Pelodiscus sinensis: one gene and its partners. The protein of the gene in region 3 purifies or fractionates together with the protein of the main gene of each other region. This does not show direct contact. Links are inferred from orthologs where the notes say so. Each region holds a gene or a part of one and is shown on either strand. Other genes may lie near its edges.

Region 1 (3,746 bases), about 3.2 Mb from region 3:
TCCAACCCTAATGCTCGCTCCTCCCAAATAAAACAAAACAGATGGAAACTTCAAACAAAGTGAACAAAAGAGATTTTTTGTTCCCTCTCCTCTAGAAGATAGAGAATAAAATCATGGTAGTTAGAAAAAGAGACTGTGTGTTCTATCCTGCAACATTTACTCAAGCACAGATACTTCAATGGGACACGTGAGTAAGGACTACTGTTTGGAGCTAGAACTGCAGATCTCTAGTAGGAGGATCTAGTCTATTCCCCCCTACAATACAGAATTATTTCTCTTAGTATGCATATACTGGGGTTTGGGATAAAATTTCAATTAATCATTTTATTTATAAACCACGCAACACACACTCTGCCATTGCTCTGTTTAGAGAAAGGGGGATCTTGTGGGCCATTCAAATGAACTTTAAATGTTGTTATGAAATTATATGAATTTGTTATTTACAAAGCATCACCCTCATTTTACTATGTTCACCCTCACAATTACTGTATTCAAACAGCAGCATTAGCACAACAATTTAAATCCTGTTTACCATAAACCAGAAGGATTTAAGGAAAAGTTGTTACACAATTAGAGCTCAATTCTACAAGGGACCTGAGGGCATTCAATATCTTGATTTTTATGGTTCCATCTTCATAACTTCCCCCAGACCTTTCTGGGGACATTTAGAACACAATAAAAGAAAAAAAATGATAAAACCATTTCAATCATTCTTTTAGTATGAGTCCCCTCTCTCTCTTCCTTACTGTTTCCCTCTACCCCAAGTGCATTGCTACAGAAAGAGGAAAATGCAATGGGATTAAGGAAGAACAACAGGTCAACCTACAGCACTATGCTCTTAAAACAGTATAACAAAAAGAAAGTTGCTAACATCACACTGACAGTAAGGAAAAAAGTAGCTTGGGATCTTACCTCCCGCAGACAGAGGGATTTGCACCTCTGTACCATGCTACTTACCACCCTGTTGTCAGTCACCACTCCAAGACCTCCAACTGCTCCCCACCATAACCCATCAGTGCCCACAGTTCACATAATGGAACAACGGTATCTCTCTCTCTCTAGCCATAGTCTCAGCACTGGGCTCTTCATAGTTAGCGCCTGTTCTTTGACTGTTTCAATCACAGAGTGCCCCAATCACTGCTTAACCACCAACCCAACCTCTCCCTTGATCCAGCCTTGTTCCCTGACCTACCTTTTCTCTTCAACACTTGCCCCCAAACTTCCTTGTAACATATGAGCCCAAGTCCCCATCACCTCCAGCACCTACACCCACTAATTTTCAATCATCCAGCCCATTTCAGCTCTTTTAACCATACCTGTCCGTTCCCCTGAGTGCTCCCTAAGCCTCGCATCCCATCACATTTATCACTCTCAGGCTGAACCTCGCCCTAGCCTCCAAAGGGCCATAAACTCTCCCTTGGCCTCCATTATCAGCTTCTTCTCAACCTCACACTGTGGTGGGTGACCTCCTCATTCTCCTTGTCTCAAGTTGCTACTGTGGGCATGAAAGCCCCGGAGCCCCCACCTGTGCGTGAACGCCAACGGCCCCCTCCCCTCATGGGGATAAAGCCATTCCGCTCCCCCCGGCGTGGGGAGTAAATCCACATTTCCCCATTGAGAAATGAAGCACTTCACCCCCCCCCAAAACTGGGGTGAAACCAGCTCCTCATGGAGTTAGACCACCCCACGCTCCCCACGGGGGGGGGTAAAGCCCCTTCCCACTTCACCCCTTAAATTGGGGGTTCAACCCCTCAGCCCTGCTCTGTACCCCAAAACCTCCACGGGGGGGAAGCCCCCTCACATCCCTCCCCCCTGAACTGGGGGTCAATCCCCTCAGCCTCCAGGGGAGGGTTAGAGCCCCCCCCCCCAGCTTTCCCATAAGGGGTGAAGCTCCCTCATACTTCACCCCCAAACTGGGGTTAAACCCCTCCTGACCCCCCAGCCCCCCCTCGGGGTGAAGTCGCCCACCCTGGGGGTCAGGCGCCCCCGTACCCAGCCCCTGGGGGGGCGTGAAGCCCCCAGACCCGTCCTAATAAGGGTGCAGACCCCCCCCCTCACAGCCCCAGTGTGGGGCTTGAACCCCTTCCTCCAGCCCGCCTCGGGGGGTGAACCCCCCTCCCCCCGGGGGGGGTCAGATGCCCCCTCCCCCCCAACCCCTTTATTTACCGCCATCATCAGCACGCGCGAGCTGTCACCGAGCGCGAGACACCCCAACCGGGGCCGGCCCCGCCCCCTCCCCGCCCATTGGCCGCCAGCCTCGCCCCGCCCCCCGACGCCATTGGTCGGAGCGCACGCCACACACTCAACCTTCTCCGCCCTCCTCTAGCGCTGTACGCCCCATTCCCCGACACCACTTACGCCATCTTCGCAACGCTCCCGTGAGCGGCGTGGCGGGTTTCTTCGGCGCGGTACGCCCGCGAGCGAGCGCCGCGGAAGCTTTCCCGCGTGTTAGGCCACTTGCGCGGCACAGACCGCGAACTCTTTACTAGAGTACGTGAATTGCGTGGGCTTGCCGCTCCATTCTCCGCGGCCCTACGCCGCTTGCGTAGCGGGAGATTTCGAACGCGGGACTAGTGTGCGTCGCTTGCGTAGCCGGCTGGGAGGCACTTCAGTGGCTTACGGCAGTTGCGCTGCGGAGTGGGAGGGGGAGAAGGGCGGAGGGGCGGGGACTCGATGGCCCCACCCCGGACCAGTGACGTAGCTGGGCTTTGTGAATCGCAGGCTGAAGTTTGGTTGAGTCACACGAGGGTAAATAAGGATGTTTCAGAGACAAAGAGACTCTTAAAGGGGCAGGGGCGTCGTGTGCTACAGGCCACGCGCTGCGCCTGGGCAGAGCAGCAGCAGGCTGGGGCGGAGAGGGAGCAGCACAGGGCTCCAGCTAGCCCCCTGGGCCAGGGACACCACAAGGGGCGCTGCCACGGGGCCACGTCCAGCACCGCCATTCCACGGGGGGCGCTGCCACGGGGCCATGTCTGGCACTGCCATTCCACGGGGGGCGCTGCCACGGGGCCATGTCTGGCACTGCCATTGCACAGGGGCACTGCCACGGGGCCACGTCCGGCACCGCCATTGCACGGGGGCGCTGCCACGGGGCCACGACTGGCACCGCCATTGCACAGGGGCGCTGCCACGGGGCCACGTCCAGCACTGCCATTGCACGGGGGCGCTGCCACAGGTCCACGTCCGGCACTGCTATTGCACGGGGGCGCTGCCACGGGGCCACGTCCAGCACTGCCATTGCACGGGGGCACTGCCACGGGGCCACGTCCAGCACTGCCATTGCACGGGGGCACTGCCACAGGGCCACGTCCAGCACCGCCATTGCACGGGGGCACTGCCATGGGGCCACGTCCAGCACCGCCATTGCACGGGGGCGCTGCCACGGGGCCACGTCCAGCACTGCCATTGCACAGAGGCACTGCCACGGGGCCACGTCCGGCACTGCCATTGCACAGGGTGCTGCCATGGAGCCACGTCTGGCACCGCCACTGCATGGGGGCACTGCCATGGGGCCACGTCTGGCACCGCCATTGCACGGGGGCGCTGCCATGGGGCCACATCTGGCACCACCATTGCTTGGGGGTGCTGCCATTGCCCGGGGGCACTGGCACGGGGCCATGTCTGGCACCACCATTGCATGGGGGTCACGTCCAGCACGTGGTCACGTCCAGCAGCGCCATTGCCCGGGGGAGCTGCCACGGGGCCACGTCTGGCACTGCCATTGCATGGGGGCACTGCCACAGGGT
Region 2 (3,746 bases), on a different chromosome or scaffold from region 3:
ATGGAGCACATTTAGTTGGCATTCAGCAGTTTAGGTACTGATTCAAAGTGCACTGAAGTCACTTTCATTAATTTCAATACACTTTGGATCAGACCCTTATATGTTTTACTTTAGTTAGGTTTTCACATTTAAATATCTGTAAGATAAACCAAATTTTGGGCTTAGAATCTCAACAGTGTCCCTTTCAGATAAGTACGAGCAAGTTCCACACACAGATTTCTTTAGAAGAAACTTGCCGCTATAACAGAGAAGCAAGAAGGCAGGAGTTGGAAGAATGGAAAAAACTCCAAACAATTTAACCAATTTTACCCAGTTAGCTGCATTATTTTCTTTTAGCTTCTCTCTAAAGTATTCGGTCACTTTCTTCTCCCAGTCAGGACTTGGACCATTTTGAGCTAGAAAACAAACTGCATTAAGAATGGCAATAGTACAGTACATTCAACTTTTATTCAGCCTGATAGGCAATCTGCTGATGTGAACTGAATTTTAAGAGGACTTTACTCCTACACAACATGCATATTATAACAGCCTTGATACCATTTGTATTTTCTTATCTTTCTGTAAGAACCTTAACAGAGATAAAAGGCAAATATATCCACTGCATAGGTGGGGGGGGGGGGGGGAGGGAAAGCTCAGACGCCAGAGATTTAAAAAACACTGAAGACTGCAAGGAATATCGGGGACTGATTATGTGTTACTTTTCTTTATCACGTGAATTATGTAACCTTTTGTAAGTGTTATTTCTGCACAAGCTCCTATTCCAGTAATTAAGAAACTATGCATTATGTTTTGGTTAAAATTAAGAACTTTTTTTGGCATGTTCTTCAATAGTATTATTGGTAGTTGAGAACAATATACCCATCACTACAAGGGAGATATAACTTAAGTTTAAGGTCATTAGAGTGCTGGGCATCAAACAGAGCTGAATTTTTTTTTTAAAAGCAGTTTCAAATACTAATGGGCTGGTATTAGAATTCATTACAATGTTTATAAATCTAGACAAAAACATGTTTTAGAAACATCTAACATGCTATGGTTCTGTCCATACTAGCTCACCAAACTGTTACATATACCTCCTTAGCAAGGACAGAATTAAAAGTATAGCTTCTTAAGTTTCAGTCCAATGTAGACAGGAGCCCAAATTATACATGATGTACCTGTGTTTCAATAGGAAGTCCTTGAAATTACATCCTTTCTAATCCATCTCAGCTGCCTCTATTTTTTTTAGCTGCAGATACAGGGGAATCTAGCTGCCTTCACTCCTCATCTTGGTACACACTTTAAAAATCTCCTAGTGGTCATCTGAAGAAGTGGGTTGTGCCCACGAAAGCTCATGATACCATCTACATGTTTTGTTAGTCTATAAAGTGCTACCAGACCATTTGTTGTTTTTTTCTCTAACAGACTAACTCGGCTACCTCCTGAAGCTAGTGTTCAATGACTTCCTGAGTTGCTTCCTCAGCAAAGTTTTTTTGCATAGTGAGTCCTATTTTTCTGTATGGTGAAGGAGTCTTTCAACCTTCTTTCTATTTGAGCTCATGGGAGAGTTTGCAGAGTGATTCAACAGATTCAAATTCAGGAACTTTAGTCATCACTTTTTAACATCACCCATGAACGACTTGTCTTACTCTTGCAATGCTTTCTTTCCCCAACACTATAATCTTTCAAGACTTGTAAACAGGAAGAAACTGCATTCTGAACGCATATTTTTCAGGGGAAAAATTGACACTTTTGGAAAGAGGAGATATTGTTGCAAAGTGGAATTACTAATGCAAAAGGAATAGACTATTGTAAGTAACTGTGTATTCACACCCTGGGCACCAGCGAATGTGCATGTCTTGCCCTGTCAGGTCTCTCATCAGGAAGGAGACGTCTTCACTAAAGTATTATTTAAGAGATTTTGAGAGAGAATAATTTTGCGGTGTTTCGAGACTTTTTAGAAATTTATGTCTCGGCTGCCTGACAGCCCGGTTAGCTACAGGCAGCAACTCCCGCCCCCACATGTCCAGCACTTGTAGCCCCCCCAACTTCTGTTTCTGGCTATTTCAAGGCACAAATCAGCCCCCAGCACGGCGCTCCGCACCGCGGGGTAAGGATCGCTTCCAGGCTCCGGTCCTGCCCCAGGAGCACCCGACGCAGCAGCGGGCTTGGCCCCCCGCCCTGCGCGGGCTGTTACTCGACTCCTTCCACGCGCCAACCGAGCCCCGCCAAGCCGCCACAACCGCCCCACCGCGGCCACTTCTGCCTCAGCCCCGGCTCCCAGCCACCCACCGCCGCGCTCCCGAGCGTGGCCATGGGCACCCGCAGGGCCCGGCGCTCGCCCGCCCGCTGACTCCCCTCCCCGCCCCGGGCGCCCCATTATCCAGCTCCCGGCCCCGCGCCGCCTTCCCACAGGGCTGCTCCCCGCCAGCCACAGCCCCGCGCTCACCGAAGATGCCCTGCACGATGCTGAGGGGGCTGTTCAGCCAGTCGGCCACACACGGCATCTTGCGGGCGTTGGGCGGGAGCCGGGACTGGCCGAGCCTGCCGCTCCCGCAGATCGGGCCCTGCGCCCCACCGTCGCCACGCGCCCGCCCTCCCGCGAGCTCCCCGAGCTGGGTCCCGAACTTCCGGCTGAGGCGGCCTCCCTCCCGCGGCGGCCGGCGCGGCCCCTCCCCTCTCACCCTGACGCTGCGGCGTGAAGGGGCGGGTGGGCTGCGCCGCCGCCATCTTGGAGCCGGGCAGCGCTGAGGGCGGAAGGGGCCGGGCTGGCTGCTCCTCAGGGCTGGGGAGGAGACGTGGAAGAGCCACAGCTATGGCCGCCACGAAAGGGCCCGGGGCCGGTTCCGTCGGCGGCACCAACCTGCTCTTCTCCTCCTCCGCTACCGAGTTCAACTTCACTGTGCCCTTCATCCCGGTCAGCCAGGCGCCCGCCGCGCCCCCGGGGCCCGCTCTCCTCGGCACAGGTATGCGGGGCTGAGCTCCTGGGGGCGGCTGGCCGGGGATACTGGGGGGGGGGCGCGAATTGGGGGGAGGGGAGTGATGAGGGATTGTTGGGGAAGAGCTGAGGGGGTAGCTGGGGTGGTGGGAGCATGAGGGTCCTGGGGCGGGGGACACGGTGTTGGGGAGGTGTCGGGGGGGGGGGAGGGATGTGATGGGGGGCATGGTGTCGTGGGTGTCTTGGGGGGGGGGAGACATGAGATAAAGGCCGTGGTGTGGGGGACATGGGGTAGGGTGTGTCTGAGGGGCAGAGGGATGAGATGGGGCCTTTGTAGGAGAAATGGTGTTGAGGCGGTGGGGGGAGAAGGAGGAGATGGGGGAGGCATTGGTGCACGTTGGGGTGGTGAGGGAACGGTGTCGGGGATTAATAGGGGAGGGGGATGAGATGGGAGTCCTGGTAGGGGGGGACACAGTGCTAGAAGAAGCAGAGAAGAGACGAGGGGCCCTGATGAAGGGGACTCAGTGTTGGGGTAGTGGGAAGGAAGGGTCTATAAAATGGGGCCTCGTGGGAGAAATGGTATGGGGGGGGTGGAATGTTGCATGGGGCTTGATAGACTCAGAGTGGGGAGGTGACCGTTCAGCTCCCTTTATTTGTTGCCTGGTGGCGTGTTTGTACAGTTGCCTTTCCCCGTTTCAACAGTTATGATCTGCAGCATTCTGTGCTGACACACAGGTGTGACTTCTGTGCCATGAATAAAACCTCTGTGGACAAGCTGCCACCTAAAAATAAGTTTTTCCTCTAGATCTTTCGTTTGATGAACTTTTCT
Region 3 (3,746 bases):
CAAAAGGTGACATTTTAGGAATGAACATTTAAATAGAATCACTGCATTCATCTAATGAAAAGAGACTCCTCAAACTAGCACCTTAAAGACACTGTCTACAGTACACTGTAGAACTGAAAGTAGCAAAGCTGTTTGAGATAGTCAATTTCATTCACAGGCAGAGTCAATTTCATTCACAGGCAGGATCAATTAAATGGTGCACCTTGAATATAGCCCTGGAAATATGAACTGGAATTAACCAAATGGAAACATTACACATTATTTTTGAATTTATCCTTCAAAAGCTCTTATAGCTCACCAGGTAAATAATATTCCTTTGAGGCACTAATATGCATGTCTGAAATGCACTTTGCAGCAGGAAAGTAGAAACTTCACAAGAGCTATTTGTGCAATCGAATGTGAGAAAAAGTGAGCGTCTCCAATCATGTTTATTTTGTGTTATATATGAAAACTGTGCAGAGTCATGTTCTCAGTATTTACTTTTACAATCCATGGGACATTTTTTCGGTAGGTGTCATTATACAGGAACCTCATTTTGTGATGATACTATACTTTTACACCTGGAGGAAAAAAATATCCTCCTCTAGGGTTCTATTACCATGGCTGCAGACCATGTTTGGATTCACTGAAAAGCACTGCTGTAGGAAGCTGCAAAACAGTATTTCAGCAAAGGATACAGGGCTGCCTATAGTGAAAGTAGGCCACTTTTCAATCAGAAAATCTAGAAATGTTTGACATTTCTGTCAGAAAACAAGTGAAATCTCAGATACGGGGCAAAGAAGATTAATACAAATATAACTCTTTTAAATGATTGGGTGGATGCAAAGTCAATTTAACTTAAAATTTCCAGATTAAAAAATATATTAATATTTAATATCATAATTGTATCACAGACAAAAGTTAGAAGATTTAAAGCAAAGACTCTAAACTCACTTTTTTGTGCAAAGATTTTTTGTAAGCTGTTTTTGAGAGATTTTTTTGTGCTGAAGGTTCCTCAGTGGCTTTCAAACACCAGGTAGATTCAATATATTGTGAGAATTGAAACAATTTCCTTTTGTCAATTATCTGTTTAACTTAAAGATTAATTTCATCAGGTCCTTACACTTGGCTCTTTCTGAAGTCAACAACACCAGCAGACTCCATCTAGTCTCCCACAGTACAAGGGGCATATTACAAGACATTAAACTTTTTTTTTTTTACATACCATTCCTCCCAAGGGAAAAAAGTAACCCAGATCCTAAAGCAAAAAAGCCTAACACAACCAACGGACACTGTTCTTCCTATCCTTGCAAAATTGCATTTATAAAGATAACAGTGTTTTATAAAACAATTCAAAATCCTTGGCTAGAAGCAATATTTCAGAACCATAAGGCCAAAGGTAAGGACCAAATCCACATACACTCCAATCTCACACACCTTCCATACATAGGAGGCTCCTGTAGTACTTAATAGAGGTTCCTTAGCCACAGCACAAACAGCCCACCTGTTCTCCAGGTTCTTCCTGACGCCACATCCCACCAAGTTCCTTCGCCCCCTTTCCTCCATGCCTCCTTAATTCCTTTCCTCCCATGATAGGGTTACCACCTGGCTCTTACATAGCATTTGCGATACACATACACAATGCAATATTTGCAGCATTTCCTTCCACTGCTCTTCATCACCTCCTAAACCAGGGTCTCTATATTGCTGGTAAGACATTTACCTTTCCCCACCTCTAATATCATTAGCTCACAGACATTCACCTTCCTTCCCCCCCCCGCATTCCCCTTCTGTTCTGAAATGTGATTTGTCCTTTTCATATGTGTTCACTTTTTTTAATTGTATCCTTTGGTATATATGGTTGTGACTATTTTCTTCCACTATTTGATCTGAGGAAGTGGGTCTGGCCCCACGAAAGCTCATCGCCTAATAAACCATCTTGTTAGTCTTTAAAGTGCTACATAGCCCTGCATTTTGTTTCTTCTATATTTCTGGTTATTGGGGGGAGGAGGGGAAGAATTATATTCCTCCCCTCTCAGCAGAATTAAAATGTCACCATCCCATTTTTAAAACTTTCCCTATTGGGGGGTGGGTCATTCTTCTCCCCCCCCCCAAAAAAAACCCCACCCACACTCCCCAAATGTTCCTTTTGGAGCCCCCTCACATCCATCCAGGCATTAGTGATTCAGAGGGGGGCGGTGTGGGAGTGCGGGGGTTCAGAGGAAGGGGGGTTTAGGGGAGGGGGAAGGAGGAGGCAGGGGGCAATAGGGGGACAGGGACCCCAAGTTACCCTGGAGGGGGGGGGTCTGCCTCTCAATGGGGGGGGCTGCTCATGGGTGGCCCGGCCCGGGGGGGGGCAGCCCCTGACTATAAAGGGGGCTGGAGCCTCGGGGGGGGGCTCACCAGCCTCTGAGCCACGGCCCCGCCACCCCCCGGGGGCGCCTACCTGCCGCTCCGCTGGCTCCCGCCGCCGCGCTGCCCGGCTAGAACTGACACCGGGCGGCCGGCCGGAGCCGGCCCGAGTCCCCCGCCTTCCAGCGAGGCCCCGCCTTCCCGAGCGCCCATTGGGCGCCGCGCCTTCCCGTCTACGTCAAGGGCGCTCGAGCCGCGGCTTCATTGGCTACTTCTCCGCCCTGCATGTAAATGAGGCCGCTTCTGCCCGCCCCCTGCCGGGAGCAGAGCCCAGCCTCAAGCTTTTTGCGAAGAGCGCGGGGGGGGGAGCGCCGGAGAAAGTCAGTGCAGCCCCTCAAATCCTCCATGCAGCGCCGCGGCCCCTGTGCAACGCCCCCACGCCGTCCGTGCAACCCCTCCAAAACCTCAGTGCAACGCCTCAGGCCCGGTGCAATGCCCCCTGTCAGTGCAACCCCCCCCCATCTCAGTGCCACAGCTCAGCCCCAGTGCAACCCCCCCAAAACCTCAGTGCAACCCCCCCAAAACCTCAGTGCAACGCCTCAGACCCGGTGCAATGCCCCCTGTCAGTGCAACCCCCCCAAAACCTCAGTGCAACGCCTCAGACCCGGTGCAATGCCCCCTGTCAGTGCAACCCCCCCCAAAAATCTCAGTGCCACAGCTCAGCCCCAGGGCAACCCCCCCAAAACCTCAGTGCAACGCCTCAGACCCGGTGCAATGCCCTGTCAGTGCAACCCCCCCAAAACCTCAGTGCAACGCCTCAGGCCCGGTGCAATGCCCCCTGTCAGTGCAACCCCCCCCCCAAAACCTCAGTGCAACACCTCAGACCCGGTGCAATGCCCCCTGTCAGTGCAACCCCCCCCAAAACCTCAGTGCAACGCCTCAGGCCCGGTGCAATGCCCCCTGTCAGTGCAACCCCCCCCCCAAATCTCAGTGCCACAGCTCAGCCCCAGGGCAACGACCCCAAACCGTCACTGCAACCCCCCCAAAACCTCAGTGCAACGCCTCAGACCCGGTGCAATGCCCCCTGTCAGTGCAACCCCCCCAAAACCTCAGTGCAACGCCTCAGACCCGGTGCAATGCCCCGTCAGTGCAACCCCCTCACATCTCAGTGCCACAGCTCAGCCCCAGGGCAACGATCCCAAACCGTCAGTGCAACGCCTCGACCCCAATGTAACGCCCCCTAACGGTCATTGCAACTCCCCAAATCCTCAGTGCAACCCAGCCCCCCTGCAACGCCCCCAAACCATCAGTGCAACCTCCAAATCCTCAGTGCAACCCAGCCCCCGTGCACCACCCGCAAACGGTCAGTGCAACTCCTCAGCTCCTGTCCAGGGCTCCCAAACTGTCAATGGAAC

The links.
Region 1: the proteins of FKBP5 (region 3) and USP49 purify together in Homo sapiens (affinity purification with western blotting; 4 studies listed by BioGRID and IntAct, with this or other methods). This does not show direct contact. The link is inferred for Pelodiscus sinensis from reciprocal best matches to the Homo sapiens genes FKBP5 and USP49.
Region 2: the proteins of FKBP5 (region 3) and MCMBP purify together in Homo sapiens (affinity purification with mass spectrometry; 3 studies listed by BioGRID and IntAct, with this or other methods). This does not show direct contact. The link is inferred for Pelodiscus sinensis from reciprocal best matches to the Homo sapiens genes FKBP5 and MCMBP.

Annotation. Positions count from the first base shown.
Region 1 is NC_134737.1:9,534,941-9,538,686, reverse strand, and holds the start of USP49 (ubiquitin carboxyl-terminal hydrolase 49), read right to left. Parts: upstream 2,749-3,746; 5' UTR 2,359-2,748; intron 2,254-2,358; exon of another isoform or gene 2,167-2,253; intron 1-2,166. UniProt on the Homo sapiens protein: Deubiquitinase that plays a role in several cellular processes including transcriptional regulation, cell cycle progression or innate immunity.
Region 2 is NC_134718.1:58,399,715-58,403,460, reverse strand, and holds the start of MCMBP (mini-chromosome maintenance complex-binding protein), read right to left. Parts: upstream 2,640-3,746; 5' UTR 2,487-2,639; coding exon 2,429-2,486; intron 408-2,428; coding exon 310-407; intron 1-309. Other genes in the region: SEC23IP (SEC23-interacting protein), read left to right, coding at 2,795-2,945. UniProt on the Homo sapiens protein: Associated component of the MCM complex that acts as a regulator of DNA replication.
Region 3 is NC_134737.1:12,704,639-12,708,384, forward strand, and holds the start of FKBP5 (peptidyl-prolyl cis-trans isomerase FKBP5), read right to left. Parts: upstream 2,555-3,746; 5' UTR 2,426-2,554; intron 1-2,425. UniProt on the Homo sapiens protein: Immunophilin protein with PPIase and co-chaperone activities. Component of unligated steroid receptors heterocomplexes through interaction with heat-shock protein 90 (HSP90).